Linked DNA regions of Mus musculus. Each later gene encodes a partner of the first gene's protein in a complex. Each region holds a gene or a part of one and is shown in the gene's direction. Other genes may lie near its edges. The genes, in order: Sin3a, Suds3 and Sap25.

Region 1 (9,746 bases):
GAAGTACTACTTGAAGTCTCTGGATCACCAAGGCATCAACTTCAAGCAGAACGACACTAAGGTCTTGAGGTCTAAGAGCTTACTCAATGAGATCGAGAGCATCTATGACGAGGTGAGCTGGCTGACCGTACAGCTCCCTCAGCTCTGCTTTTTTGTGTTCAGCCTTGCTTTGACTTCTACAGTTAACTAAGAACTGCCAGTTCTTGTATCATGGTCTACCGTCTTAAACCTACTACTCACCGATTCACTCAGTTCTTCCTCTGGTTTCCCAGTTTACCATTCTGCCTTTAATGTACACTCTTCTTTTTTTTTTTTTTTTTTTTTTTCCATTTTTTATTAGGTATTTAGCTCATTTACATTTCCAATGCTATACCAAAAGTCCCCCATATCCACCCACCCCCACTCCCCTGCCCACCCACTCCCCCTTTTTGGCCCTGGTGTTCCCCTGTACTGGGGCATATAAAGTTTGCAAGTCCAATGGGCCTCTCTTTCCAGTGATGGCTGACTAGGCCATCTTTTGATATATATGCAGCTAGAGTCAAGAGCTCCGGGGTACTGGTTAGTTCATAATGTTGATCCACCTATAGGGTTGCAGATCCCTTTAGCTCCTTGGCTACTTTCTCTAGCTCCTCCATTGGGAGCCCAATGTACACTCTTCTAACAAGACCTGGCATCTCCTCTACCTCACTTAAAAAGTGGTAGTAACCCTGTTATTCTGCTCACTTAGCAGGGGTATGGATGGCACTTGGAGCAAAGACTCAGAGATAAATGTGAAATTGGTCTTGCTTTTTGTGACCTGCCTTAGGAGGTAGGAAGCATAAGTGACATCTATCAGGCTTTCAAAAGCTGGCCCTGAGTTTTAAAGAATAAAAATAGTAAGTGAACTTTAACAAACACTTAATTGTTTATCTTTGATAATTTGTTAACCTTTACATGAGAAATTCTTTTTTTTTTTTTAATACTTTTTATTAGGTATTTTCCTCATTTACATTTCCAATGCTATCCCAAAAGTCCCCCATACCCTCCCTCCCACTCCCACTTTTTGGCCCTGGCGTTCCCCTGTACTGGGGCATATAAAGTTTGCAAGTCCAATGGGCCTCTCTTTCCAGTGATGGCCGACTAGGCCATCTTTTGATACATATGCAGCTATAGTCAAGAGCTCCGGGGTACTGGTTAGTTCATAATGTTGTTCCGCCTATAGGGTTGCAGATCCCTTTAGCTCCTTGGGTACTTTCTCTAGCTTACATGAGAAATTCTACCCCAGTATTTTAAGTGCTAAATCTGGAATTTTAAAGGTAATTCTCTTAAGTCTTCAATATATAGAAGGCACTAATCTTTTTATATCAAGCCAATTTGTCCATAGTACTTATGAATATTTGGAAGAGAGACAAACATTATTAAGGTTAACTCTTGTATTTCAGATTAAGTAGCCACTGTCATGTCTCTGTCTAAGCCCAAACTGGCCTAGAATCTTGTACCCTTCCTGGCTTATTCTCCCAAAGGATGTAACTACAGATAGGTGCCACAGTGCCTAAAGTGCATTTTGGTTAATAATAAAAATGTGCTGCTAATGTACTCTTTGTTTGTTTTGAGACAGGGTATTTCTATGTATCCCTTCCTGTCATGGAACTTGCTCTGTAGACCAGGTTGGCCTTGAACTCATGGATCTGCTGGCCTCTGCCTCCTGGGTACTAAGTTTAAAGGCATTTCCCACCACTGCTCAGCATTTCTGGTATAGTATTGTAGGTTTGTTGTTGCTGTATACATGTCACACAATGCTTTTATGTCTGTTCCATCAGAGGCAAGAGCAGGCTACAGAAGAGAACGCTGGTGTACCTGTTGGCCCGCACCTCTCTCTTGCCTATGAAGACAAACAGATACTAGAAGATGCTGCTGCTCTGATTATCCACCATGTGAAGAGGCAAACAGGCATTCAGAAAGAGGACAAATACAAAATCAAGCAAATCATGCACCATTTCATTCCTGACCTGCTGTTTGCTCAGAGAGGCGATCTCTCAGATGTGGAAGAAGAGGAGGAGGAAGAAATGGATGTGGATGAAGCAACAGGAGCACCTAAGAAGCACAATGGTGTTGGGGGCAGCCCCCCTAAGTCCAAGTTGCTATTTAGTAACACAGCAGCTCAAAAGTTAAGAGGGATGGATGAAGTATATAACCTTTTCTATGTCAATAACAATTGGTATATCTTTATGCGACTGCATCAAATTCTCTGCTTGAGGCTGCTACGGATTTGTTCCCAAGCTGAACGGCAAATTGAAGAAGAAAACCGAGAGAGAGAATGGGAACGGGAGGTGCTAGGCATAAAGCGAGACAAGAGTGATAGTCCTGCCATACAACTACGTCTCAAGGAACCTAGTGAGTGCTTAGACTGTCAGCTTTATGCATGGGGTAGATGGCTGGCTTCAAGGCCACCTTACCTTGAAGTACACTTAGTCCTTAGATTGGAACTAGGGTTCGTATCCTACCTCTGCAACTTAGCTGGTTGTGTAACCTTCCTTGAACCCATGAATGAAACCCCCCCCCCAAAAAAAAAAAAATGGAGGCAGTATTTGTCACTTTCTGTGGTTGCTTGAGGGCTTAAGAAAGATGCAAGCATGGAACCTTGTACAGTATCCGGTTCATGGTCATGTGAGGTGTTTAGTTTGCACTGTGGACACATGAGGGACGTGGGATCCATTGGCTAGGTTAGTGAGCAGTGGTTCAGATGAGAAAGAAACGTCACAGTTCTTTCTATTCATAACATAGAAATTCCTTGTTATGCTTATGGCACATAAGGAATCTTTTCAGATGTGTGTTAGCATCTCCTTAATGGGCTTCTTGGTTCATTCCTGATATTTCTGAAGAGGAATTGGCACTCAAGATGGTTTGAGACAAGGCAAAGGGATAGACAGGATTCAAGGGAAAGGAAGCCCAGAGGCTCATTTAAGAAGCTAGCTATCATTGGCTGTATGCTGGGTTCTGCCGCCTCCTTCCACATAATGCTTTCATTCTGAAGTTGGGTGCTTAACCTGTGAGCCAGACACATCCTCACAGGCTTCCCTTCTTTGCTCTTCACGAAATAGTAAATAACTGCTGTAGGAGTCCTGTGTATAAACCTAGTTTCTTATCTGTTGAACTAATAGCACCAGGAATCTGTTTGAAAAGCCTTTATCTGTTTTAGTCCTAGCTTGGAAGAAACAAGTAGAATTTACAAATATAAATCTGGGCTTGATCACTGTCTTATCCTGGACTTATGCTGAAGCAGCTTATTCTTGAGTGATAGTGCCAACTTCATGCCAGTCATAGTTTGTGGCTATAAATCTGTGGTTTGGACTCTTATCCTAGTATATTTTAAAGGCTAGCTCCCTGCTTCCTGGGCTTAGACAAAGTGATGTAGTGTGACACAACTCAAACCAGTAACTTGTTTTAAGCAGTGATTGTTCGTTTTTGCCTGTAAGATCCACCCCATTTGTCCCCTTTCTAATTTCTCCTTACTAATGGATGGCCAGTAATCAGTAAGTGTACTTTTTGTAGTTAACATTTTTGATCAAATTTTTATTGATGTGCAACCTGTATGCAAAAAGGAACACAAATGAGAATCTGCATTTGTGTGGGGTGCATGTGCCTTATGTGCAAGGAGGCTAGAAAAGGCTATGGCCACTGTGTTATGTACCTTCCTTCTCGAGACAGCGTCTCACTGAGCCCCCTAGAGATCCTCCTCTCTGCTGACCTTCACAGTGCTAAGGTGACAGGTGGTGACAGCCAGGCTTTCACATGAGTGCTGGGGCAGGGGCTCTTATCCACTGAACCGTATCTCCTGCCCCACAAATAGAATTTTATGGCTCTAAATTTTTCTATAATGAGCATACTTTAGTCAAAAAAAGAGGTCAAGAAAATAAAGCCAAGCCCCAGTAACTTCTTTGTTCTACTATTTTGGTTTTCAGACTTAGAAATGAGTTTTTTTTGTATTTGAGAGTGGGTCTACTGCTATAAAATGCTCACTGTCCCAGAACTTGTTTTGTGGCCTAGGCTGGCCCAGCAATCCCCTTGCCCCTGGGATTATGTACATACATACATACGTACATACATATGTACATACATACATACATGAGCTCCTGGTGCCCTTCTTAGTTACTATGTCCTTTTACTAGTAAGATTCACTCCAGCTACTGGTTAAATGTTTCATGTGCAACAAATACAATTCATCTAATGTAATTACTGGAGTTCAGTGTTGCAAATCTATTTTAAGCAAAGGGACTGTGATACAATCAGAGTTATTCATTTTCATAGAGGGGTTAATTTGAATAACTTCTGTAGCCAAGAGTTCCAAGTGTGGTAGCATCTACCTATGCCTGTCTTCTCTTGTCCATACTTTATTCTTCATTGAGGTACACTCATGAGCAACTGTCCCCTTTGTGAAATGGTTTTGTGTAAGTGAAGGAGCCAGCAACTTGAAGGACTCTCTTGGGATATTTTGCTCTCAGGTGACAGAACTCAGCAGTGCTCAAAGTGTCTTTTTAGCAGTCAGTCTGTGCTGGAAGCGACTGTTAGAAGTTGCAGAGTCACTGTTGGTTCTTCGATGGACAGTTCTGGTGATTATAGCTGCCTACTAGATGTCATCTCTGTAGTGGGTTAAGTTGGACATGTTTTTGCATATCTGGTATTTTGTCCTTTCAGATGGTATATAGGCCAGCTGTGGGATTCTGTATTCTCTGTCCTCGAGCTTGTCTTAGCAGAGTACAGTCTTACCTGTCTAATCTTTCCTGTAGTGGATGTTGATGTAGAAGATTATTACCCAGCTTTCCTGGACATGGTGCGGAGCCTGCTTGATGGCAACATAGACTCATCACAGTATGAAGATTCACTGAGAGAGATGTTCACCATTCATGCCTACATTGCCTTTACTATGGACAAATTAATCCAGAGCATCGTCAGACAGGTGAGAGGGTGTGTTGGAGGTTAGCGCTACCAAGGGAAGGTGTTCTCAGCTAAAAGTCACAAAGGAAAAGCAAGATTTCTATGGGAAAAGGAAAAGCAGCTTAACCATATATATAGCAGTGTTTATAAACATATGTCTTTGAAGTGGAAAGGACCAAGTTAACATGAAGTCTTGTGTGGCTTCTCCTTCAGAGACAATAACAAACATCCCTTTGATACACTGACAGCAAACCAAAGAAATGATTCTAGTTAAGTCTTAGTGAGCCATTATGTGTGTTGGGGTCACTTAAGGAACATGAGCAACCCAAAGGCAGTGCAGTGAAAAGCCCACTGTACACAAAACCTGAGTCTTTGAAGCTCCTGCACAGCCAGAGGGCAGCTTGACCTATGGGAGAGAGTACTTTCCCCAGAAATTGTTTCTCCTTTTAGAAGAGGATCAGAAATTCAAGTTCATCCTTGGTGGGGATGGGTGTGGAGATGGTTTCTAATTTAAATTTCAGGGGATTTCTGAATTTTCTATTTCCTTTATTTCCTGAACCTTGTACATTTTGTTTACTTTATGAGTCTGGTGTTACTGCTCAGAGAGGATAGCTCAATAAGTCTCTCTCCAGCTCACAGAACTGGACTCTTCCAGCCCTGGAATTGGTTCTTAGGTTCTCAATGTGCCCCTCCTCAGAGCCTGTCCTAACAGCCATTTGTCTAGAACACAGTCCTACCTCTTTATTTATCCAAGAAGAAAGCATAGGTGTAGCTTAGCCTTTTCCATAGATGACAGTGATTCTGTTTATTTGCCTCATTTAGTATTAAAAGTCCTGTACAGTGCTCTGCCCACCTCATTATCTGAGACTCAGTGTTAGATTTGTGGTTGCTTTTATGTTTTGTTCCTGGAAATTTTAAATATGTGGAGTTGTTTGTAACAGGATCTCACTATGTTGTACTGTCTGACTGAGAACTAATCCTGTGTACTTCCTGAGTACTGAGATTATAGGTGTGAACTACAACGCCCAGCCAATGTGATACTTTCTAACTGTCATCCTTCTGACAGGGAGCATCCTTGTCTCGGGGTTTCTGTGGCGGCATTGTTGGCCTCCCTACTGAGGAGTAGGAAAAGCCAGTAAAATAAATGTTTCATAAACCCTATGTTATTTTTAAATAGATAATTCATTTATTTAGAAGAATCTGGTTATAAATTTATGTTAACGCTGTCAACATATTTTTAAGAACTGGAAATGGGAGTTGCCTCCAGAACCCACAACCATGAGTTTTTAAGACATGTTTAAGCTTTTCATTTGAACTCTTCAGTGAGTTTTGTCTGATTATGTTTTCTTTTTATTTGGTGGTCCCTTTGGTTGAACAAATATCAAGGTCAGGCCATATATTCGTCTTAATTTTCTCAGGCTGGGGCTTTATTTAGCTCAATTGGTAGAGTTAATTGCCAAGCATGACAAAGCCCTGGGTTGGATTTTCTGTACCCCATAAAATGGGTGTGGCACTACTCACCTCAGCGTTTGGAGGAAGAAGCCAGAGGAACAAAATGTGAAGGCCATCCGCGGCTACATAGGGAGTTCAAGGGCAGTTCCCCATACATAAGATCTCTCCAAACCAAGAATTCTAAGTAGGCAGGCTCAGTCATCTTAGCTACAGAACCATGATACAATGTCATCCTGTGAAGCCTTGACTAGGAACGCTTCCCTTCGTCCCAGGCTTCTCCACTCTAGTGCTTCTCTGCACGTGGACACTCAGCATATCAGCATACACTTCCGGCCTCTCCATCCCTCGAGACTTGAGCACCTCTGGGCTTGGTATTACCTAGCTTTCCCATGCGGTGCTTCTCTTTAACAGCAACAACAAAAATCTTGGAAAAATCATCCCTACATCATTTCTGGTTACCTGATGAAATACTTAATGTATGGCTGTACATACCCCATCGTTGTCTCTGGATTTGTAATGCTTCCATTTCTAAAGATTCTGAGAGAGGCAGATACCTAAAAGAGGATGTGAATAGAGGGTCAGTGGTACATAGTCACACGGAGAGAACTCATGTCTTGGCTAGACTGACTTTTCTCACTCTTCTCCCCCACTTAAAACTCTGTGACGCTTTCACTGTCTTTATCAAGTCATAACATTCCTTACTTCAATGGTATTGTCCAAGTCTTTTATACTTCACAAAGACTGTATCTTCCTAAAAAATAGAATGGCGTAGTAACCATGATAACATGAGATTAACTAAGTAAAATTGATGAGTCAGTATTGAAATTTACATTTTTGCTTCTCTGCTTTTTAGGGACCAGTTGGTTTGGTGTTAGGCACTGAATGTAAGACTTTGTGCTTGCTAGGCAAGCCTCATTTCCTGACTTTAAAGGTTTTCTTGTTTTGCTGTATGTGTATGTGGAAATCGGAGAATAACTTACGAGAGTGGGCTCTCCTGCCACTGCGTGAATTTCAGGGCTAAACTGAAGTTGACAGTTTTACCCTCTGCGCCATTTCTTAGGGGACTTTTAATTTCACAATAAGAATAGTAGAGTGGGAATGGATGTTACCCACTGTGGCATTTGTTGTGGCCTGAGCTGGTCCCAGCAGCCTTTGTAGAGTTAATATAAGGCACTGAGTCTCTGCTAAGCCTTGTCTCCTCCCCTCAACAACAAAACAGGTTCACAGTTTCCAACACGTTTACCTTCTATGAAAAATGAGCAGTTAGGCCAAGGATATAACTTTACATAGTCCTGGGTTTCATATAACTCAGTCTTGGAAAAAAAATAGAGTTAACATGTACAATTTGAGGGTTATTCTGTGTGAATGCACTAATTAGTGGCCTGCTAGTGAGGACGCTACCTTGGTGCAGGAGCTTGACCTTGAGGCTTGGTCTGCTCTTTAGTTGAATTCATGGGGGCAGGTGACGCTGCACCAGTTGCTTTTTTGTTTTTGAGACAGGGTCTATACATAGGCCTGGGTGTCCTGGAACTCACTATGTAGACCAGACCAGTATTGAGCTCAGTGATTGCCTGCCTATGCTGGGATTAAAGTGTGGGCCATCATACCTGGTGTCTGCTGCAACTTTTAAGTTTAGGAATCCTAGATTGAGCCTAGCAAGTAGCTCAGCAGCTAAAAGCACTTGTAGTTCTTGTCAGCACCCACGTGGACGTCCATGTCCTCCTGTAACTCCAGTTCCAGGGAAACCAGTGTTTTCTTCCAGCCTCTGTCTATGGGCACCAGGCATAATATAGCTGACACACCACAAGCTTACACACAAAGCACATAAAGAAAAATAACAAATATTTATTTAAAAATAAAATCAGATGAATCTTGTTTTCAGAATTCTTTGAGATACCTGTCTTAACTCCAAGTCTCAAAAGTTTTAATGTCTTAACACAAAAAAATTTCTCACAATGGGACATCCCTCCATTCCAACATGGTTCACAGGGTAATTGTAGATTGGATAAGAAATACATGTGAAACAAGATTGTAAACAGTTTAAAAGTACATGGAGAGGGGACACACACCATGGAGCCTGGTAAGGTGGTGCATACCTGTAGTCCCAGTATTTGGGAGGTGATAGTACTTAGCTTCTTAAATTAAAAAAAAAAAAAAAAAACAAAACATGTTTGTAAGCTGCCTGCGGACAGGAGAATCGGCCCTGGCTCACTGGCCGGCCTGTGCTTTGTTCCAGCTACAGCACATCGTCAGCGACGAGGTCTGTGTGCAGGTTACTGATCTTTACTTGGCAGAAAACAATAACGGAGCCACGGGAGGCCAGCTCAACAGTCAGACTTCAAGGAGCCTTCTGGAGTCAGCATACCAGCGGAAGGCAGAGCAGCTTATGTCAGATGAGAACTGCTTCAAGGTAAGAGCCGCTCATCGAACCGTGGACCCCAGTGCTGCTGGCTAGACTGGTACAGGCTGGACTGGGGTGTGAGCCATGTAACCTGAGCAACCATTTACTAGCAAACTCGTACTAGCAAATGTTTACTGATTTTTTTTTTTTTTTTTTTTTTTTTTGGTTAGGATTGATTTTTATGATTTTTATGCTTTCTCTTCATGTGTTTGTCCATCACCTGAATGGAATGTCCCCAGAGGCCAGAGGCCTCTGTCCTGTCCTGGAATTGAGTTAGACCATGTGGTTCTGGGAGTCAAATCCAGGTCCTCAAGTAGAGCACCCAGCACTCCGCCATCTCTGCAGTCCCATTTCTACCTTACCATCACCAGCTTTTCAGTACCTTTCATATCTCTTCCTTTGGAACAAATTGTATAATTTACCTTTCTACTTACACTGTGACAATCTAGGTTTATAGCCTTGAAATTTTAGGGTTTGTTTGTTTGTTTGTTTGTTTTGTTTACACTTTGCTTCTTTTTTGCAGCTAATGTTCATTCAAAGTCAAGGTCAAGTTCAGCTGACTGTTGAGCTCCTGGACACAGAAGAGGAGAACTCAGATGACCCCGTGGAAGCAGAGGTGTGGACAGTATGTTTCAGAGCTTGTCTGCTCACCCTGAATTCTGATGGGCTGTAGCTCCTTAGGATGTTTGTGATTTTGTTTTTAGGGTTTATTTGTGTGTGTGTGTGCATTGTGGGTGTGTTCAAAGGACTAAAGTCCTCTAAAGAGCAGCCAGTGCTCTTAACTACTGAGCCATTTCTCCAGCCCCTCCATAGGTTTTAAGTGTCAGGATGTTTAGAGCGCAGGCTATATCACTCCCTTTGGAGGCTCTAGTGGTAGTAGCCATTTAGAGTCAATGCCCCCTTTTCATCCTTAATAATGTGGGTAACAGCTTTGCTGGCCTTTTCTTTTTGTTTTTCTTCCTAAATAGCAGTAAACATG
Region 2 (9,746 bases), on another chromosome or scaffold:
GGGTCAGCAAGATGGCTCAGTGAGTAAAGGAGCCTGACACCATGCTTCATGGCCTGAGTGTGGTGCCCACAGTTCACATGATGGGAGGGGAGGACTCCAGACGATGTCCTCTGACCTCCAGACACGCACCCGCACATGCACACAAATGGAAGAAACATTGAGAGACGGGTGTCGTTCTCAAAGGATTCAAGTTCTCCTTGGGCCAAGCCCGAGCTTCACCACAGCAGTCTCTCTCCATGGCGGCTGCTAAAGTCTTGGCAGCTGAGACGAGAGCCAGCTCTCCAAGATCTTGCAACACAATGTCACCGTTCTCTAAGGAATGTGACTTCAGGGCATGTCCTGCCTCTTGCTTCATCTTCAAAGTGAAGGGAGAAGGGTCTGGAGTCTGATGGGGCAGCTGCTGGCTCTGCAGCAGGTCTTAGGGTCTCAGGGTCCCTGTCAGTGTAACTGCTTCATCATCGGTGCCTCCTGACCGGGAGATGCGCTCCTGGGCCCTGGTCCTCCGGTCCTCCGCCAGCCAATGGGCTAACAGGGCCGTCCTACAGATGCGGGCTCACGACAGCTGCCTTGGGGCGGATGAGCAAGTAGGGGTGTTGGGATCTGTACCTGCACCGTCTGATGGCCATGAGCCATACGACTGAGTCACATTGAATAAGTGATCTGGTTCCTCGCCGCTATTGATTAATTTTCAGTGCCAGTGTAGCCCCCACTTGGCCACTGTATTGCAATTGCAGAGGCAGAGTTTTCTACCACCACACAAAGCTCTCCTGGATAGTTTTGACCTAGATCTCACTGCAAGAGGAAGAGCCTTCCCCACGAGAGTGAGGACATTGTCTTAGACCATAGGGCCTGGTGCTCAGTGTCACCTGGTCCCCTTGCCTGACTACTTGCTCTCAGGCCCTGGGGGAGGTCCGGCGGGAGGGGGAAGCTCCACACGGTCTGGTGCTGTCTACTGTGTGGCTCCTCCCTGGTACAGCTCTCTAGGCGGCTCCAGTGCTAGAGTGTGACTCAGTGTGCAAAGCAGGCTGACTCCCCGAGTCACTATGCCCATGCCTGCCCCGTCAGGTACGCTCCAGGAATATCAGAAACGGATGAAGAAACTGGACCAGCAGTACCGAGAGCGGATCCGGAATGCAGGTCAGTGCGCCAGCTCAGGCCCAACCCCTCCATGCTGATAGAATGCAAGCCCAAAACACACTCGAACCTTCCACTGGGAGAAAGGGCAGGGGAGGGGTGAGCCAAGGTTGCCATCACAGAAAGCTGTGCTTTGTCCTCCAGGAGTCAGGGTGTCTGGGCGGCTCCTCACTCTTGTCCCCTTGGTGGAGGAGGCTGAAGTCATCACACCTTGAGTAGCTTGTCTGTGCCAGAGATGAGGGGCGTGGCTGTGTTGGCCTCTATGCATTTCAGGCACATAGTGGCTGGAATGCTGCTGGTCTGTTGTCTGCTGTACGCAGCCAGCGTTTGTTCAGGGTGCCCAAGCATTTGTGCACATTGGTGCTTTGAGCAATGTGATGTCACTAGCATATTGTCTGTGGCTTTCGGAAACTCAACATTTCATTGGCCAAAGGTACTGATCTACATAAAGTTAAGGGGTGCCGGGAGTTAAGGAACCATGCAGCAGGCTTCCTGGCCCACAGTTCCCCGGGCTAGAGTGACTTTAGCTTCTGGGACAGGGGCTTGCCTGCTGCGGATGCTTTTCATCAGACATAAAGTCTGGGCTCTTAGTCTGAATTCTGCAAGTCTGAAGGCTCTGTGGGGTTATGGGTGGATGTGTTTGCAGAGCAAATGGGTGGTTAGAATTTGAGGTTTGCAGAAGAGCCCACAAACCAGAAGTTTCTGGTCTGCTCATGGTACTTGTGGAGCAATAGTAGGCCCACGCTCACCTAGAGAGACAGGAAATCCCAGGTACATTTTGCCACAATTGCTGTCTTTACCAGAGCTGACAGCATCCTGTCTCTAGGAAGAGAACAGATAGAGTGAGCCTGTGTATACACATAAGGTTGTGAGAGTGGCCTCAGGGCTGTGCTCCAGTTTGTCCATTAGTGGCTGTGTCTCACCGGAAAATCTGAGAGTTTCAGGCCGGCTGTCTCAGCTGGTCTTATACATGCACTGGACTCTGGAAGAAACAGGCTCTAGTGCCAGTGAAGGAATGGACTAGCCAGTGAGAGCGAGGGCAAGCAGGCAAAGAGAACAAGCTTCCTTCTTCCATGTCCTTTATAGAGGCTGCCACCAAAAGTTATGGTCCAGGTTAAAGGTGGATCTTCCCAACTCAGAAGATCCGGATCAAAGGTGGGTCTTCCCACTTCAAACGACTTCAAAGAAAAATCCCTCACAGTGTACCCAGTCACTTGGGTTTTAGTTAATTCCAGATGTAGGCAAGTTGACCACCAAGACTAGCCGTCACGTAGGTAAACAGTCGTTGCTGGCACACAGTAGGCACTGAGGAAGCTTAAGAGTAGACCTTGATGGCTTTGGTTCTGTCAGGGGAGGCCTCAGGAAGGGGGCCGCCTTGGATCTGGAGTTTGAGAGAATGACGAGAGTTAAATCCCAGCTGAGCCCAGCCCCTCATCCTCTGGGGTTTCTAGAGAGGTCCTGCCTTGTCATGTATCTGCCCCACTTAGAAAGTCTCCATGTGGACTCTGCCTCTAAGGTGGCTGCTTTGTGACTCACTGTGCTGTCTGTCCTACTGGGTGGGCCTGAGTGAGAGCATCTTGTCAGGATGGTGAGGTAGACCTGCCCGAGCCCCTCAGTGAATCCCAATACCCCTATCTAGGAAGATGGCAACTGGCGAGTCTTAACTGTTCTTTTCTCTCTTTCAGAGCTCTTCCTCCAGCTGGAAGTAAGTACCCAGCATCCTCTGCGTTCGTAGGCTCCCAGGAGAGTCTGACTCTTGGTTCCCTGGCCTTGCCTTCTGTTGTTAGCAAGTGGACGGTTTGGGAACGCCACCACAGCTCGTTTGGTTAGGGATGCTTAATGACTGCTTAGACCTTCCATCCACCCAGGAGTGTTCTGCAGTCCCTCCCGACCACGCTGGGTTAAGATGCTGCCCCTCGCTATCTTTCTTGTTCTTTAATTTAAAATGGAATTTATGTATGTGTGTACCTCTGGAGGCCCGAAGACGGTTCTGGGTCCCCTGAAGCTAGAATTACTGGCAGTTGAGAGCCATCCCATATGTGGACACTGGGATCAGACGTGGGTCCTGTGGAGGAGCAGGGAGCTCCCTGCTAACCCACCTCTCTAGCCCACCGTCTGTTCATTGACCTTTACCTCACGTTATGACCGTTTGTCTCCAGACTAAGCCTGCTGCTTTGCTACTGGTTCCCATAGCCCAGTCTCTGAGTTGGCTCCACAGATCTGCCTTGTGTTTGGGCTTCATGGGTTGTGGGTCAAGATGGAGTCAACATTTCCTTTCATGTCAATGACAGTTCGGTGCTATGGTGCTGAGACAAGGGCCTGGCTCTTGAATGATAGGCTGCCCTTGGTCCCAGTGGGACATAAGAGGTGCTTTTTGGTTTGTCAGATTCAAGTTAACTGGCAGGCGATTTTACTAAAATTAGTTTGGCACATGCAGCCGTGGCCTGGCAGAGCGTATGCCTCAGTCACACAGCCCGCAGCCAGCACCCAGGGTGGCGGAGAGATGTCACAAGGGGGCTTCTAGGCAGTTCTTTATTTTATTAATAGCTTAATTTTGATACTTGAGTACTCGAGCGCTCAGGCGCCTAATGAATGGTCTGTAGTTGCTTTTGTTCTTACAGAGCAAACATAATAGCCAGCTGTCTGGCTTTAGTATCCCGTAATTAATTTTGAATGCAGAAACTTCACCTGGCATGGGTTGTTTTCACTTGAAATTGTGTCCTTCCCAAAGGAACAACCCCTAGCGTTCTCTCTCTCTCCTCTCTCTCCCCCCCACTCTCTGAGACTCGAGTTCTGTTTGATGTTAAAGCCTCCGAAGACTCGTGGGGGAGAGGGGCGGGCAGGGGAACAGTACAGTGCCTTGGAAGCAAATGCTGTTATATGGCTGGGTTTGGGGACCTGTTGGGATTGTCCCTAAGACCCCTGGTCCCATGGGTCAGTGTGGGTGAAATGAAGTCTCAGGCTTTCTCTGCTCCTGAGGTCAGAGCTGGCCCCGGGCTGGTGCTCATGGCCGCCCGCCTCAGCTGCGTCTCTTCTCAGACGGAACAGGTGGAGAGGAATTACATTAAAGAGAAGAAGGCGGCCGTGAAGGAGTTTGAAGACAAGAAGGTGGAGCTGAAGGAGAACCTGATTGCCGAGCTGGAGGAGAAGAAGAAGATGATCGAGAACGAGAAACTCACCATGGAGCTGACTGGAGGTACAGAAGCCGGTCCCTGCGAGCTGTCACGGCACTCCTCTCATGCCCGCGGGCGTGCTGGAGAGCTGGCTTCCCGACCCACCCCGCAGCAACTGGGGGCTTGAGGCCGGCCGCTTAGCTTCCTCCTGTGGAGGGGCTAGATCCTGCTTTATCTCCTGACTTAGTGCCTGGGGTGTCATGTGACAGGCAGGACACGTGCAGGCTGTGTGCAGGAAGCAATCAATTGCACACTCAGACTGTGCCTCACTGGCTCCTGGTCAGCTGCTGTTTGTGTCTTACATTTGAGTTTCTTACCAGGACCACCTGAAGATTGCTTCTGTCATTACAGTCAGAAAAGGATGTTGTCCTCTGATGTCATGAGGGAGGTAGTTGGGGGCTCTCTTCCCCCAGGCGGTGCTGTGAGGCTCAGAGCCAGAGCGATTCCCTTGATCCCAATCGATCCATTGATCGATAGTATTTTGAGTGTCTGGTTCCTCCCTAGCAGCTGAGATCTGCTGTCCAGGGAGTTCAGCAGGTTACAGACAGGTCTGTGGGGAGCAGCAGGCCCGACTCTCCTGATGCCGTCTGCAGGCTGGTGAATCACAGGATAGTACTGGCAGAACCAGCCGTTTCCGAACTTGGCAGGGTCTTCATTACAAGTCAGCACTGGGTTTGCCACATGGCTTCACGGGTGGCGTGTTCTTCCACACACCCCGAATCGTAGTCTTCATCATCTGTCCAGAAGGTCCCGTTGCTCTGGGACAGCTGATTCTAGCAGGGCTCTATAGGACATCTGGGTTTTCACAGAAACCTTGGAGCTGACTTTGAATCAGTGAGGCCGGGTCTGGCGGGGGTGGAGTAGGGGAGTGAGATTTTTGAAAACCAGCTGAGGGCTTGTCAGAAGGCATGAGTGCAGCTCTGAACATGAGGTGGGTGTTGGGGTAGCGCCTTCAGGACACCTGTTTACCTGTCAGCGCTGGTTCTGCAGTCAGGTACCAGTCCCCCCACCCGTTCTGAGCCACATACAGTTTTCTTGATGGTGGTTGTGACTGGCATTGAGGCCTCATCACTCTTCGGGAGCCTCCAGCTATTCAAGAGCTGCCATTAGGCTAGTTGGAAATCCCACCGGTTATAGCTGCTCCTGCCCCCCCCCCCCCCCCATCTGCAGAGAAGGACACGCTCACCTTATGTGTGCTTTGGTGTCCTAGTTACTGACAAGCATCAGGCCTTGGCCAGGTGGTTTTATAGCCAGCTTCTGAACTGAGGCAGGAGGCAGAAAAGACAAATAAAGACAGGGAACTCATCTGTAATGCAGTAAAGCAGATAGCGAAGCATTTAAAGCCATCCACGGGTAGAAAGGTACTGACGTCCTTCCTCAAGCCATTTGGCACCTTGGCGTGGAGCGCACTGGCAGCGAAGGGCAGGCGGGTGGGAGGCACTGAAGCTGGAAGGATAATGGCCTTCCACAGATGGTGCTGTTGGATGGACGGAAACAAGGCGACCGCTTCCAGCTCCGTCCACAGAAGCCATGTCTTAAAATGGCCTTTTCAACCTCGAGATTTCTCTTAGAAAGTTAAGGAGAGGCCAGCAAGGGAGGCCGTAAGAAGGAAGCAGGTGTTCTGGGCCATCTGCTCTGTCCAGCACTTATGACCTGGGACCCCGGGGAGTAGCAGGAGGTCCTCGGTCTCCTCAGCCTCCCGGGCACTGGGCACACTAGGGCTAGCTTTCCATGCAGTCGCTGTGTGCTGAGCTGCAAGTGGAGCTGCTGGGCTAGCTGCCTCCTGCAGACTTGGGTGTTGGGGGGGCGCTGTGCCAGGGAACACCCCCAGGGCCTGCCCGTGGGCTGTTGGGCCACTCTCTGTTGAGCCTTTGATGTTGAGGCCAGGGTTATAAGTGACCCAGATTGATAACCAGACAGGTCCCAGGCCCTTTAAGGCATCAGAGGTGTTACCATTTTTATTCTTCGGATTTATCTTTGTGTGTGTACGTGCGTGCGTACATACATGTGTGCGCGCACGTGTGTGTGTGCCCTTGTGCATGCACATGCTTATGCCACGTGTTTGCAGTCCCAGAGCCACAGATGCTTTAGAGCCAGCATCATGGGTGGTCCTGAGCTGACTGAGGAGGAGCTGGGAACTGAACCAGGGTCCTCTGTCTGAGCCCTCTCTGTAGCCCAGGCCTGGTCACTTTCAGTCTGCCTTTCCTCTGACTGGAAGGCCAGTTGGTTGCCGCTTGGCTCGTGTTGTTTCCTGACATTTGCTCACTAGGGTGTCCACTAACCCTCCAGCCCTTGTTGGATGCTACTCATGACCTCAGTACAACCCACAGAGTTGCTTTAGGAAGTATTGGCTGTGTAGCTGGCCCTGTGAGCAGCCATAGTTGAGGTAAAAATCTCATGGGTATCTCCTGTGTCAGGCGCCTCAGCAGGCTCACAGGCCTCTTCCTGAGGGGCCTTGTCTTGCCCGGTGAGGGGGAGTGGGGAGTCTGGAGGGTCGGCTGGCACAGAACAGATGCCTGGCACCTAGCAGGCCATTCACTTGCACAGTTTTGCTGGATTTGGGTGTCATTTTCCAGGTTTGAAATTGGCAGAATGGACTCAGAAGTCAGCCTCTTGCCCCAAGTCCCTATAGTCCCAAAAAACCTAGCTAGTACCGAAGCCAGTCTGTTCTAATTGCATTAGACTGGCTCCTTCCACTCCACTGAGTTGGGGAGGTCGGGTTGCTGGCTGGAGACAGTATTGGGGAGTTCCCAGACCTTCCAGGTTTAAGGAAGGAGAGGTAAAGATGAGACAGGCTCGTTGTAGTGTGGCTGTATCGGGCAGTGCCTGATGCTCCAGTGGAAGGGGCTTTAGGAGTCAGGGAAAGATGCATAGAAAGATCTGTGGGGGGTGAGGTAGGGGGTGATGTGGTGACCTGACCTGGGGCGGGTGGGCTCCATCTCAATGTCAGCCCTTTGCCCGGGGCGACCTGGGTGTCTTGGAGCTTGGTCCCTTTGTTCCAAGCATGCTTTGCCCTCCAAACACCTGATGCAGACTTCATTCCCTGCCCCCTCTCCATGTGCTCACCCCTGCTGCTGTGACGTGTGACAGCATGGGTGAGCCTGCTAGTCTGCTGGAGATGGATGAGGCTGTGTGTCCTGTGGGGCCCTGTCTCGCGCACTCTGTCTGCTGCAAGCCTCAAATGAAGTGTGTGCTTCAAATCATTGTTGTTATTTTACCCAAGTCGCTAAACAAATAGTAAGTTCTTCATCTCAAGAACTGGGGGTAGAACCCAGGGCCTCATGATGCCAGGCAAGTGCTCTACCGCTAGGTCGCATCCCTCACCAACTGATACGTCTCCCCACTTTAGCCGCCGTTTCCTAGTGGAAACACTGACAATCTCAGGATCCAGAGACTGTCCTGAAATGCTCAATGTTACCTACCTAGTTAACTATAGTCAGCGCTGTGCAAGAGGACGGTGGGCTCTCCCCTCATCAGGATGGAACCTCATAGTGACCTCTGTCTCCCAGCCTCTGCTCAGCCAGGGTTCCTGCCTCTGCTTTGGGGTTAGCTCACTCCCTTAGATTCTGCTTAGGAGGGAGATGGGCGAGCTTGCTTTATGGTTAACATTCGCTAAAGGGAAGCTGGAACTGCCCCTGGGGAGGGGCAGGAAGTGAGTGAGGCAGCAGGCCCCGTGCAACTCCAGGTAGTGCCTGTCTCACAGAAGCCAGGGAGGCTTCTAATGCAAGGCAGTTAACTGTTTGGAGGTTACATGACTGAGGCGTGTCCTGCCCAGATGTCTTCTCCAGTTGTCACACTCCAGGGTCTGGGCTTCAGACCTGGGAGTTTGATTTTGTGCTTGCCCTAGTTGAACTCTCGGGCTCACTGACCAGACTCCTAGGAAGCTGTTGTTTGAAGCTCTTGCTAGTTTTAGCAGGTTCAGACTCAGGTGCCACGCCAGCCCATCCCCCTGGGGAGAGCAGATCTGAGTGGCTGCTTCTGGGGAGGAGACATTTCCCTGTGTGGAGTCCGTCCTCTAAAGCCCCAGAGAAGTCCAGAGTGAAAGGCGGCCCTGTTCCCCATCTGCTGTATCGGTCTTGCCCTCTGGTAGCTACAAAGGGTTATATAGAAGAAAACTGGGAGTGTGTAAGCAAAGACTTCATATACAAACCTTGGCTGGGGTCAGTGGCCTTGAAAAAGGGCTTTCTATGTCCATGGTCTTCAGCACGCAGCCTCTGTGGGAGCAGCAGACATGAGGTACCTGCCTGATCCCAGGCTCTTTTCAGTCTCCTAGCCTGTGACTGGGTGCTCAGCTGGCTGACTCCGGTAAGCACAGGGCTTGCAGCCTGCCACGGGAGTGTGGCTGGGCTCATGCATAGACTAAGTGTGCTTGGTCACATAGCTGCAGTGGGATGTCTGTGGGATGGATGTTCTGATGCTGCAGGGACCCCTGCTGGCTCCAGGGACAGGTGGATAGACTCACCCCTTCCATTCTTGCCACAGATTCTATGGAAGTGAAACCCATCATGACCAGAAAATTGCGGAGGCGACCAAACGATCCTGTCCCCATTCCAGACAAGAGGAGAAAACCGGCTCCTGATATCCATTTGTACCAAGCTTGAGTCATGAACTCCTATGCTTAGTGTGTGTAGTAGTGTATGCAGGGTCACAGTCTCACGAGCCAGCGGCAGTCCAGGTCGGGAAAGCATATGTGAGATACTTACCTACAGGTGGGGTTGACTCCAGACAGCACTGGAGTCAACTATTGCTTTTCGTTGGAGAGGTTTCCAGAAAATGGTTACTTAGAAAGGTGCTCTTTTGGAAACAGCCTTGTTCTTACACTCCCTTTAAGCAGCTTACAGTGAAATGTGTAAATTGAGGGCAGCACTGCCTGCTGTGGTCCCAGGTACCCACCTCTGCCTCTTGGGCTGCAGACTGCCCTAGCCCACCGGTTATCTGACTACAGTACTGGGCTGCAGACTGCCCTGGCCCACCAGTTATCTGCTTCTGGGTTGTGGACTGCTGTAGTGTACCAGTTGTATGCTTCTCTCTACACTGGTAGGTTGTGTACTGCCATGCGTAGTCTACCGGTCACCTGCCTTTACACTAGTGGGTCGTGAACTGTACCACAAGTAGGTCCGGTGTTCATGGAAGATGCTATATAGCCACGGACGTGGCCAGTGGGCCAACGTGGAGCACTCTCTTTGGGAGATTTAGTGTAGCAGTTTGCCCAGCGTGGGCTGTACTGTGCAACCAGCAGAGGGTGCTGCTCCAGGCCTCTCCCCTTCACAGCGTGATCTAAGCCACTGTGAGAGTAGCCTTTCCGTGTCTGTCTGGAAAGCTTCAAACTTGGGAGTAGCAGTGTTTTTCTCCCTTAGATGAGATTGTCACCTTGCTGTGCTGTGTTCCCACCCCTGCGACATCTGTTGAGTAGCAGCATCTCTTCCCCTCAGAGCAGTG
Region 3 (9,676 bases), on another chromosome or scaffold:
GAACCCAGGACGGGGCAGCGGGGTTCTGGGGAGTCTGGGGGATGCTATCTGCAGAAGCTCAGGCACAGCTGACCTTAGAGAATGCTCCATCCTTCATCCGGGTGGAGGAGTACCATGTACAGAGCACAGAGGCAGGGATAGCGTGGTCTGTCTTGGACAGTTAGAAAGACAAGCTAGATAGGAGGAGGCAGGAAGGGTGCAGACTTGGCATTGAAGACCAAGAGTAATGGCCATCCATTTTCCCTGCCTCCTTCCACCCCTCTCTGCCTCGGCCTCTGCCCTCCCAGTCTGTTAAGTGTCTTCATTACTTTTCTGTTACAAAATACGTGAAGCCAAGGAGTTTTGTTTTGTTTAGTTGAGACAGGGTCTCACTATGTAAACCAGACTGGCCTGGAGCTCACAGACATCCGCTTGCCTCTGCCTCCCAAGTGCTGGCATTAAAGGTGTGCGCCACCCTACCTGGCTGGAATTTTGCCCTTTTTTTGGTTTTGCTTTTTGAGAGTTAGTTCAGGCTGCCCTCCAGTGTGTAGGCAAGAATGGCCCTGAACCCCACTTCTCCTGCCCTCACCCCTGAGTGTTGGGATTACAGGCATGGGCCACTTTAGCAGTTCTGACTGTGTGGTTTTGGGAGGCTTTTGAGCAGTAGCATCAGTTGGTTTGTGTCTTGCGCTGCTCTTTGGAGAATGTAGGATGAATTCCCGGGTGGGGGTGGCAGGAGAGGAGGATGCATAGGGCTGAACTCAGCTGTGAAGGAGGAGAGGAGCAGCCTTTTGTTTCTGGGAAGTGAGCTGAGCCAGCCAGGGTTGGAGGTGCTATGATGGAGCTAGGGGTGACTGACTGCCCAGAGCCAAGTTAAAGGAAGAGAATTCAAGGCCTTCGCCTGGGCATCTCCTAACTCTCCCTGTGCCCCGACTGTAGAGCTGGGAGACCTTCCTCTGGTCCGCCTGGATTTCTCCTGTAACCGCATCTCCCGAATCCCCGTCTCCTTCTGCCGCCTCAGGCACCTGCAGGTCGTTCTGCTGGATAGCAACCCCCTACAGAGTCCACCTGCCCAGGTAAGGTGCAGCCTGGGTGGACCCTGAGGACAGTGGTGCTGTGAGGTAGCATGGGAGGATCCAACAGGGCTTGGGGAGCCACCTCTTCTCTTGCATGTGCCCCTCACAGATATGCCTGAAGGGGAAACTTCACATCTTCAAGTACCTAACAATGGAAGCTGGCCGGAGGGGAGCCGCCCTCGGGGACCTGGTCCCTTCCCGCCCCCCAAGTTTTAGTCCTTGGTAAGGCCCAGAGGAAGGAATCCCCTTCTTGGGACCAAAGAACTCCCCTGGATTCCAGTGGGAGGGTAGGGGTGCCGCCAGCCTGGGGCTGACCGGGTCTTCCTGGCTGCTCCAGCCCTGCCGAAGATTTATTTCCGGGACGTCGTTATGATGGTGGCCTGGACTCAGGCTTCCACAGCGTTGACAGTGGCAGCAAGAGGTGGTCAGGAAATGAGGTAAGGACCTCCTTTGCAAGGGCATTTGGGGATGTCATTGGGACTGGGACTGGGGACTCTATACCTAACAGGTTAGTATCTCGGTAAGAGGTCATGCCTCGGGCTCCTTCCCCTACTATCCCCAAGAGGCAGGCCCTCCACTTGATCCCAGTCTCTACTGTGCAGCCTGAACCCATATGGTCCCCAGCCCTGCAGGGAGCCCATGTCCCATCTCTGCCTCTCTGCCTTAAAGTCCACAGATGATTTTTCAGAGCTGTCTTTCCGGATCTCGGAGCTGGCTCGTGATCCCCGGGGGCCTAGACAACCTAGGGAAGATGGCGCTGGTGAGCAAGGGAGTTTGCCCAGGAAATCATGGGTGAGTATGGGCTGGAAACCCCCTCCTGCTTGCTGGCTGACAGGCCCTGGTCTTGCAGGCGATGGAGACCTGGAGCAGATTGACTTTATTGACAGCCACGTTCCTGGGGAAGATGAAGATCGAAGTGCAGCTGAGGTTAGGAGCCAGGCCTGACCCTGGGCAGGTAGAGAGGCACTGATGGGGAGATCAGTGTAAATGGGGCCAGGCCTCTCTTCAGCTCTGCTGTCCTCTCTTCAGGAGCAGCTGCCTTCTGAATTAAGCCTTGTAGCAGGGGATGTGGAGAAGCCATCTAGCAGCAGGTATTCCGACCCCCAAGCCCACTCTTCTCCCTCCTACTCAACAGCCTGGGCACCTCCCCTTCACCTGACAAAGGTCCCTCTTGTCCTGTCTTCTGCCAGGCGAGAGGAGCCTGCAGGGGAGGAGAGGCGGCGCCCAGACACTTTGCAGTTGTGGCAGGAACGGGAGCGGAAGCAACAGCAACAGAGTGGGGGATGGGGGTCCCCCAGGAAGGACAGGTAAGGAAGGGCTCAGGGCCTGGCAGGGACAGATGCAAATGCCTCTCAGACTTCGGTTCTACAGAATTCCAGGCCTGACTGCCCAGCTTTTTCCTCTTCTGCTTCTCCAGCGTCCTGAAGCGGGGGATCCGAGCTGCCGGGGCAGGTGCTTCGGCCCCATCCACACAGGCCACCTGCAAGTAGGTGTCCTCCGAGACCCACCTCCCTAGGCCTTCCTCGTAGCTGGCCTTCTCTGAGACCCTTCTTTTTTCCTCAGTGGCCCACCAAAGTCCAGCACTACCCAACTGGGAGTTTCAGGGGGGCAGGGAGCTCCCACACCACCCCCCACCTCCCAGGACCCCCTTCCTGTATCTGGACCAGGTAGGACATCGCCTTTAGGTGATGGCTTGGAGATGGTTGGGACATAGAGGCCTGAAGGAAGAATGGGCTACTGAGGGGTGTCTCTGTTGCCTATCCCTGGCTCTCCCCCCAGTGACAGCTCCTGTTCCCAGGCCCCTGGGCTCCATTCAGAGACCAAACAGCTTCCTCTTCCGGTCCTCTTCTCAGAGTGGCTCTAGTAAGTCTTTCTCTTCCTGGCACTAACCTTGGGACTCGTATCTCTCTCTCTCTCTCTCTCTCTCTCTCTCTCTCTCTCTCTTTTTTTTAGTTTTTTCCAGACAGGGTTTCTGTGTATATCCCTGGCTGTCCTGGAACTCACTCTGTAGACCAGGCTGGCCTCAAACTCAGAAATCTGCCTGCCTCTGGCTCCCAAGTTCTGGGTTTAAAGGCGTGCGCTACCACTGCCTGGCAGGACTCTTATCTCTTGAGGCTTGTGTCTCTTAGGGTGTTGTCCCTGTTCATGGAAAATCCCGTAGGCTTGAATCTGTATTGGTATCAGACTGTTGGAAACAGGCTCCAAAATTTATCTATGAAGCAGAGCTATACTCCTTTTCCTCCTAGGTCCTTCCTCTCCAGAGTCTGTTTTGAGACCTCGGCCGTTTCCTCAGGAGAAGGAGCTAATATCCCAACTTCGCCAGGTGAGCAAAGTGATATTCACGGAGGCCTGGCCCAGCCTGGCGTCTCCTTCCCCTCTCCTTCCTCAGCCCACAACTCCTGTTATCGAGGAGGGGAAGGGATGGAGGGAGTGACCTTGCTGACCCCAGCTGCTGCTTCTGTCTCTGCTTCCAGGTCCTAGAGTCGCGGCTGCAGCAGCCCCTACCTGAGGACCTGGCAGAAGCTCTCGCCAACGGAGTCCTCCTTTGCCAGCTGGCGAACCAGCTGCGGCCCCGCTCTGTACCCTTCATTCATGTGCCCTCACCTGCTGTGGTCAGTGGGAGCCCAAAAGGAAGAAGAGGGGAAGGGACGTGACTGTGGCTTTGCCTTTCCAAATTTCTTCCCTTTCTCCTCTGTCTCCAGCCAAAGCTCAGTGCTCTCAAGTCTCGGAAGAATGTCGAGAGTTTCCTAGAAGCCTGTCGGAAAATGGGTGTGCCTGAGGTATGGGGCTGCACTCTGCTCTGGAGCATGTTGGTGTCTAGGGCTCAGCTGAAACTGCATGAGGGGCGGAGTTCCATCCACTGGGGTGTTCGCTCCTACAGGAAGCATGTGTCCTGGTCCCACCCCTTAGATCTCCTGCCCTGCTCTCCCTCCCTGTCCTGCATGTCCTGCATGTCGGTAATGGCTCTGGCTGTTGTCCTGGTTTGTGAGGGCAGGGTGGGAAGGCCCGTGGCTTGATGTTGCTAACTTCTGTGATTTGTCCTTGTCCATCTGCCCTGTCCTCCCTCCCCAGGCTGACCTGTGCTCGCCCTCGGATCTCCTCCGGGGCACCGCCCAGGGGCTGCAGACCGTCCTGGAGGCTGTGATCCTGGTTGGGGGCAAGGCCCCTCTCCCAGTCCAGCCCTCCTCTGGTCTGGGTGGCTTCCTCCTCTTCTACGTGGTCTTCATGCTGCTGCTCTATGTCGTCTACACTCGGCTCCTGGGCTCCTAGGACCCACGTTGCCCCTTCCTTCCCCACCTTCTATTTATAAGACCTCCTGTTCAACCGGTGGTGCCTTCAGCCCTACCAAAGACACTAGTGTCCCCTCACCAACGCTGACCTCAGAAGCCCCACTCTCATACCCACAATACCCTTACCCTTAGTGCTGATGGTGCCTTCGTGTTCTCCCGGCCAGCCCTCTGTCCCCCGTCGGATGACAGGACTGTGGCTTTTCTCTTCTGTCCTCCCTCCCCCTACCAGCTGCTATGGGGGAGCTAAATTATCTCTGTTTTGTAGAGAGAACTATTAGCAGGGGATGTGAGCCCAGTATGGGCCCCTGGCTCTGTGTATAAACTGTATAGATTGTCACCTCTGTGTGTGCGTGTGTGAGCTCCTGCTGCAGCCAGGTCTTGTCCTGCCTGGGCTACCTGCCTGTGCAAGCCTTTCCCTTTGGAAATGACAGGCCTCTCCTGTCCCAGTCCCCTGTGTTAACCACCCGTCTGTTACCTGCTGGCAGCTTCTATGTGTCATTTGTCCCCAGGTATGGGGCAGTGTCTACCAGGAGTTCCCACCCTCTTAACCTTGCTGGGGGAATTCGAGGGGGAAACCTAACCTGGGCCCCTCCCCCCAGGAGTCCCTGTGCCAGCCCCACCACATCCTGGAAGAGGAAGGGGCCCCTGGAAGGGGCCTCCCTCACATCGCTGCTGTCCTTCACGCACTTCTGGAACAGCCTTAGGGGTAGAGGTTGGGGGCTCTGGGCCCCAACTACCATCGGACCTGTCCTGGGAGCAGATGACACCTGGGCCCAGCCAATTAACAAGGACTTGGTGACCATGGTCTTGTGTGTAGCACTGGCCTTGGATATCCCCCTGCCCTTAGGCTGCTTCGGGTACAGCCCCCATCTGGGTGAAGAGCGTTGTGTCAAACACAATAAAAAGAAGCCCAAAGGCCTGTAGGTTGGTCCTCAGGTGTGTGCCTGCCTGTCCATGAATGCGCGAGCTTTTTGGGGACCTGAGTCCTCTACTGTGAGTCCCAGTGTAGACTGCTATATTTCTGTGCCTGGCAGAGGAGCTTTACCGGCACAAGTGCCCCGTGCCTCTGCCGCCAGGGGGAGCCCTTGAGAACCTGGTGGGAGCGTGCCACGTGGCTGAAGAAACGCTGGCGCAGGCGTCGTGGCGACACCTCTGAGGTGGGCTAGGACTTGGGCGCTCATGTAGTCAGGGCCGCGCGCAAGTGCAAGCACGGCGGTGGGTATTGCCTGGTGCTTCACCAGTCGCAGGATGTTGCCTTGGCTTGGGCCATGGGCCACAGGCCAGGAGGAGGCGACCGAGGGGCTAGGCCTCCCCACCGGCACTGGTCACGGAGAGGCCTTGAGCTCTGGAGAGGAAACCATGAAGGAGCAAGAAACGCCTGTGCAGGACAGGTGAGGGCTTGGTGGGGGCCACTAGGAGGCGTTGTGGGCGCTTTCCAAAACTGAAAATCTACGAGATCGGGACTGGGAAATGGGTATATTGTTGGTCCTGCGACTAACTCAGGTCAGCATTAGGAAGGGAGGTGAGTGGGGAAGCCTGCCCTTCCCTTCACACAGCTCACAGCCCCAGGCCCTCAGCCCATCTGAGCCAGGAAGAAAGCAGCTGCCGCCTTCCAGGCACCTGGCTACTGAGCCGACTGCAGAAGCCCCAGGTAGGCACCAGGTCGGCACCAGGTCGTGCTGTTTTTACCCACAAGGCCCCAGAGAGTCCGAGCCTGTTCTAATCTCGTCTCTCTCGTTCACAGTACGTCTTTCTCCCCGGGTGACCTCCCAGGTCACCCCCTCAAGGATGTCTCCACTGCCACTTCGGGATCCCAGCCACCAGGCTAATGCAGGACCTCGGCTGGTGGTGAGCTGGGGGGTTTGTGACTGTGTCTCCAGGTAGCAGGGGTGCCAAGAGAGGTGGAACTCTGACTTCCTGTTCTCCACAGGAGCCCAGCTGTGGGCCAGGGGTATCTTTGTCTAACAGGACACTGTGCCATCCTTCCTGGCCGATGTATGATAACTGGGGCAGGAGCCCAACCACCTCAGAACGCCCAGAGGAAGAGCAGGTGGTGTCTAAGGATACAGGTACTGATCTTGGCCCCACAGCTCAGTTGTGAAGTTGCCAGGGAAGCTGCACTGAGGGCTGGGGAGGAAGGCCAAGGCCACCAAGCTAGCAGGCTCTCTCCTTCAGGGGTCCCGGTGAGAAACTATGAAGATGTCTTTCTCTTGGATCCTCTGCTACCATGTGGGCAGCGTGTTCCCCTAATCCTGACCAAGCCCCCTCAGCAGGTAAGAGTGAGCCTCCCTCCATTCTCTTCTCCCTTTCTCCATTCAAAGCCGGGAGGACAAGCTTCCCTTTTTTTGTCTTCTCAGGCAATGGACTCCAGGAAGCTGCTGCTCCCACCGCCCATCATGTCGCCCTCTGTGCATCCGTCCTCATCCCAGGCCTGCTCCTCCACCTGGCTCAGCGAGGCAGAGATGATCGCCCTTGCTGGTCTGCTGCAGATGAGCCAGGGAGAGCAGACACCCAACTGCGTGGCAAGCTCTCTGCCTTCCACCAGCTGCCCAGACCCTGTCTCTGTCTCTGAAGACCCAGGTCCCAGTGGTGACCAGAGCTGTTCTGGGACTGACACATGAACCACATAGTACCCCAATAACCACAGTCCATAGTGTACCCTGCCCCCCACTCCTCCACGGGTGCTTTCTTCTCCCCCAAGCTGTTTTGTTGACAATAAATCAGAGTTTGCAAACCAGGCTGTCTGCAGTGGGACATGGGCTGCGGATCAGGCTGGGTCCCATTATACCATTTTCTCTTCCTCCAGGCCTCCTTACTCATTGGTCACACACTGCATGGGGTGGGGAGATCCATTGAGCAAGACAGTCAGGGAGAAGGGCACCTTTAATGGGTGGGTTGGGCTGCACTCTGGGAAGTGAGGAACTCGTTTGTGTCTGCTGGGCCCAGAGAAAGGTCAGGTGAGGACTGGCTGCTTGGGGAGCACTGGCTGCTTGAGGAGCACCGTCATGATCCCTGATGCTCCTCCCATTGTTTCTGAGCCTTAGGAATTCCGCTCTGGCTTGAAAAAAAACAGGGTTAGGATAATGTTTTGGCTGAGGAGACACAATGACATCTAGCTGCCAACATGTGAGGGGACAGAGCTGTCCCAAACCAGGATGAGAGTCTTCATCCAGGCTTGGGCCACAGCTAGCCTGAGACTGATTCTGTGGGCATTCATCTGAGAAGGGTTTTATTTGTTTGTTGCTTGGATTGCGAGTGGGGGGAGGGCTGGCAGGGCAGAGAGAAGTTCTAGTGTTTTCTCTGAAGAGTCTGGTTCCTCGAGCATGGCTTCCTGAGGGCTTCCTAGGTGGTACAGCTGGAAGGAACAGAGCAGGCAAGGGGGCAGCAGAGCAGCTCATGGTGGCCTCAGGGTTCCTGGGTCCTGTGTGCAGGAGCTGAGCTGAACAGTACTAAGGTCTCTTCTTTTCCTCTCTTCCCTGACCAATGCCTGGGTCTCCTCACCTGACTACCTCCCAAAAGTTCTAGAACTTGATGCTGGCATAGCTATGTGGACTCTTCCCTGGGGCTGCTCCAGGAACCTCCAGGGGAGGGACCAGGTCCAGGTCCACATAGTTGAGGCAGCTGTCCAGAGACCCCAGCCTAGCACTGTCCGTTCCTACATAGTCGGGGATGGACATGTAGTCCCCAGAGAGCTCTGACCCTTGGGAAGAGCGGGGCTGAGCCACTGTGGGTCTCCATCTGTCTCTAAGGCTACAATGGGCACCCGGATGCCCAAGTTCAGACTCCCTGGCCTTGAGCTCGTAGTAAAAAGGCCCAGGTAAAAATCTATTCATGGGCACATACTCTGTGCTCTCACAATCCTCGAGCTGCTTATTAGGATCTGCCCTGGCAGGGGTGGGAGGAAGGCCTGGGGGCGCCATCCACATATAGTCACCTGCTTCTCCTCCCCCCATGTGGACATAGTCATTCCTGACTCCCATGGTGATGTAGTTCCCGCCCAGATCTAGTCCCTTGTAGGAGTGTGTTGACCCCATCCTTTCCAGGGGCTTGAAGTAGTCCTGCTTTGCTCGCTCACTGGGGCTTCTTGCTTGTGCTGCCGATGCAGGGATTTCATATGGTGTCGGGGTAGGAGCTGCAGGAACACTCTTTGGAGGATTTCCCTGTGGCGGTGGCTCAGCTTTGCCAGCTGCATTGCTCCCCAGCCGCTTCATGGCAGCCAGGACTGTCTCATGAATGCTTTGGGCCACCACTGCATCAGGAGCCTGCAGCCAGAGCTCACCAGGACCAATGGGCGCTGAGCGCCCGAGTTCCAGGAAGAAAAAAGAGTCTGCGTGGCCACAGCGGCGCACACTGAGCAAGGACAAGCGCAGGACTGGTGGTGGCGTTGCCCGGCTGTCTCTGGAACCTTTGCTTCCAGGCTTTCGCAGGAGGCTCAGGGCCCCAGAACCCAGGCACAGGCGATAGCTGCCGCTGCTCAGGCCTTGTGCTCTCCCCAGCCCCTTGGACCGCAGTGTCACAGGCCAGACGTCCTGGAATGGGGCGAAGATCCAAGACTCAGGGGCCTCTTGGGGACTGAAACCTGGAGAGAATTGGCAAGTCACCGGGAGGCAGGGGTTGGGGTCACCGGGTCCCAGGTGACCAAGACGTTTTATACGTCTTTTTTTTTTTTTTTTTTTTAGCTTAAGATTTGAACCTCAGGCCGGGCGTGGTGGCGCACACCTTTAATTCCAGCACTTGGGAGGCGAATTTCTGAGTTCGAGGCCAGCCTGGTCTACAGAGTGAGTTCCAGGACAGCCAGGGCTACACAGAGAAACCCTGTCTCGAAAATAAAAAAGATTTAAACCTCAGTTGATCTGAGGGAAATGGGTTCAAGATAAACTAAGTCGGCAACCCCCTGACCTCCCCGTCGCTCACCCAAGGCTCACCCATAGCAGTAGCAGCAGCGGCTGCGGCGGTGGCGCGCACCTCGAGCAGGGCGCTGTACCATGCTTGCTGCTCTGCTTCGCTGGCCGCCGCCACGCCCAGGCTGCTGTCGCTGGTATAGATGACGATCAGGTGGCGCTGACGGGCATCCGCGCGCTTGCTAATAGTGCAGGCACCCTCCAGGCTAACGGTACGCCGGGGTCTAGGTGGGCGGCAGCCGCTGGCCAAGAACTTCTTCTCGCTCTCGTAGCACTCCAGGCGTGGTGGGTCAGCGCGCAGCACGAAAAAGCGGCGGCGCTGGGACTTCTGCTTCCTCAGATGGCCACAGAGCCGCACGTCGGGCAGGCAGGGCCAAGGAAACGGTGAGCCGAGGGACACGTCGGTGCACTCGCCCCCGGAGGAGACTGT

What was found.
Region 2: the proteins of Sin3a (region 1) and Suds3 are in contact, whole or in part, in an NMR structure (PDB 2N2H), measured with the Mus musculus proteins. Residues at the interface, in NP_001103821.1 of Mus musculus: Glu616, Glu619, Leu620, Val623, Arg672, Ile673, Tyr674, Ala675, Lys677, Asp680, Ile681, Ile691, Ala692, Ile695, Val696, Arg699, Met702, Lys703, Glu706, Trp707, Glu709, Ala710, Phe714; in NP_848737.3 of Mus musculus: Ala205, Leu207, Asn208, Tyr209, Leu210, Leu211, Gln215, Ile216, Glu218, Asp219, Leu220, Thr222, Leu223, Leu226.
Region 3: the proteins of Sin3a (region 1) and Sap25 are in contact, whole or in part, in an NMR structure (PDB 2RMS), measured with the Mus musculus proteins. Residues at the interface, in NP_001103821.1 of Mus musculus: Leu121, Lys122, Val123, Ala126, Leu127, Leu130, Tyr144, Phe147, Leu148, Met151, Lys152, Phe154, Lys155, Thr161, Val164, Phe182, Phe185, Leu186, Pro187; in NP_001075431.2 of Mus musculus: Ala208 (codon at 6,802), Glu209 (codon at 6,805), Ile211 (codon at 6,811), Ala212 (codon at 6,814), Leu213 (codon at 6,817), Ala214 (codon at 6,820), Gly215 (codon at 6,823), Leu216 (codon at 6,826), Leu217 (codon at 6,829), Gln218 (codon at 6,832), Met219 (codon at 6,835), Ser220 (codon at 6,838), Glu223 (codon at 6,847).

What each region holds. Positions count from the first base shown.
Region 1 is NC_000075.6:57,108,780-57,118,525, forward strand, and holds part of Sin3a (paired amphipathic helix protein Sin3a), read left to right. Parts: coding exon 1-112; intron 113-1,799; coding exon 1,800-2,373; intron 2,374-4,766; coding exon 4,767-4,936; intron 4,937-8,602; coding exon 8,603-8,776; intron 8,777-9,290; coding exon 9,291-9,383; coding exon of another isoform or gene 9,384-9,392; intron 9,393-9,746. UniProt on the Homo sapiens protein: Acts as a transcriptional repressor. Corepressor for REST. Interacts with MXI1 to repress MYC responsive genes and antagonize MYC oncogenic activities. Also interacts with MXD1-MAX heterodimers to repress transcription by tethering SIN3A to DNA.
Region 2 is NC_000071.6:117,099,739-117,109,484, reverse strand, and holds part of Suds3 (sin3 histone deacetylase corepressor complex component SDS3), read left to right. Parts: intron 1-1,065; coding exon 1,066-1,137; intron 1,138-2,819; coding exon 2,820-2,839; intron 2,840-4,173; coding exon 4,174-4,330; intron 4,331-8,789; coding exon 8,790-8,885; intron 8,886-9,746.
Region 3 is NC_000071.6:137,635,821-137,645,496, forward strand, and holds Sap25 (histone deacetylase complex subunit SAP25), read left to right. Parts: upstream 1-5,652; 5' UTR 5,653-5,815; coding exon 5,816-5,996; intron 5,997-6,089; coding exon 6,090-6,193; intron 6,194-6,275; coding exon 6,276-6,414; intron 6,415-6,520; coding exon 6,521-6,618; intron 6,619-6,702; coding exon 6,703-6,966; 3' UTR 6,967-7,082; downstream 7,083-9,676. Other genes in the region: Lrch4 (leucine-rich repeat and calponin homology domain-containing protein 4), read left to right, coding at 919-1,055, 1,165-1,277, 1,393-1,492, 1,725-1,815, 1,906-1,982, 2,085-2,146, 2,246-2,362, 2,473-2,541 and 6 more; Irs3 (insulin receptor substrate 3), read right to left, coding at 7,867-8,924, 9,271-9,676. UniProt on the Homo sapiens protein: Involved in the transcriptional repression mediated by the mSIN3A but not the N-CoR corepressor complex.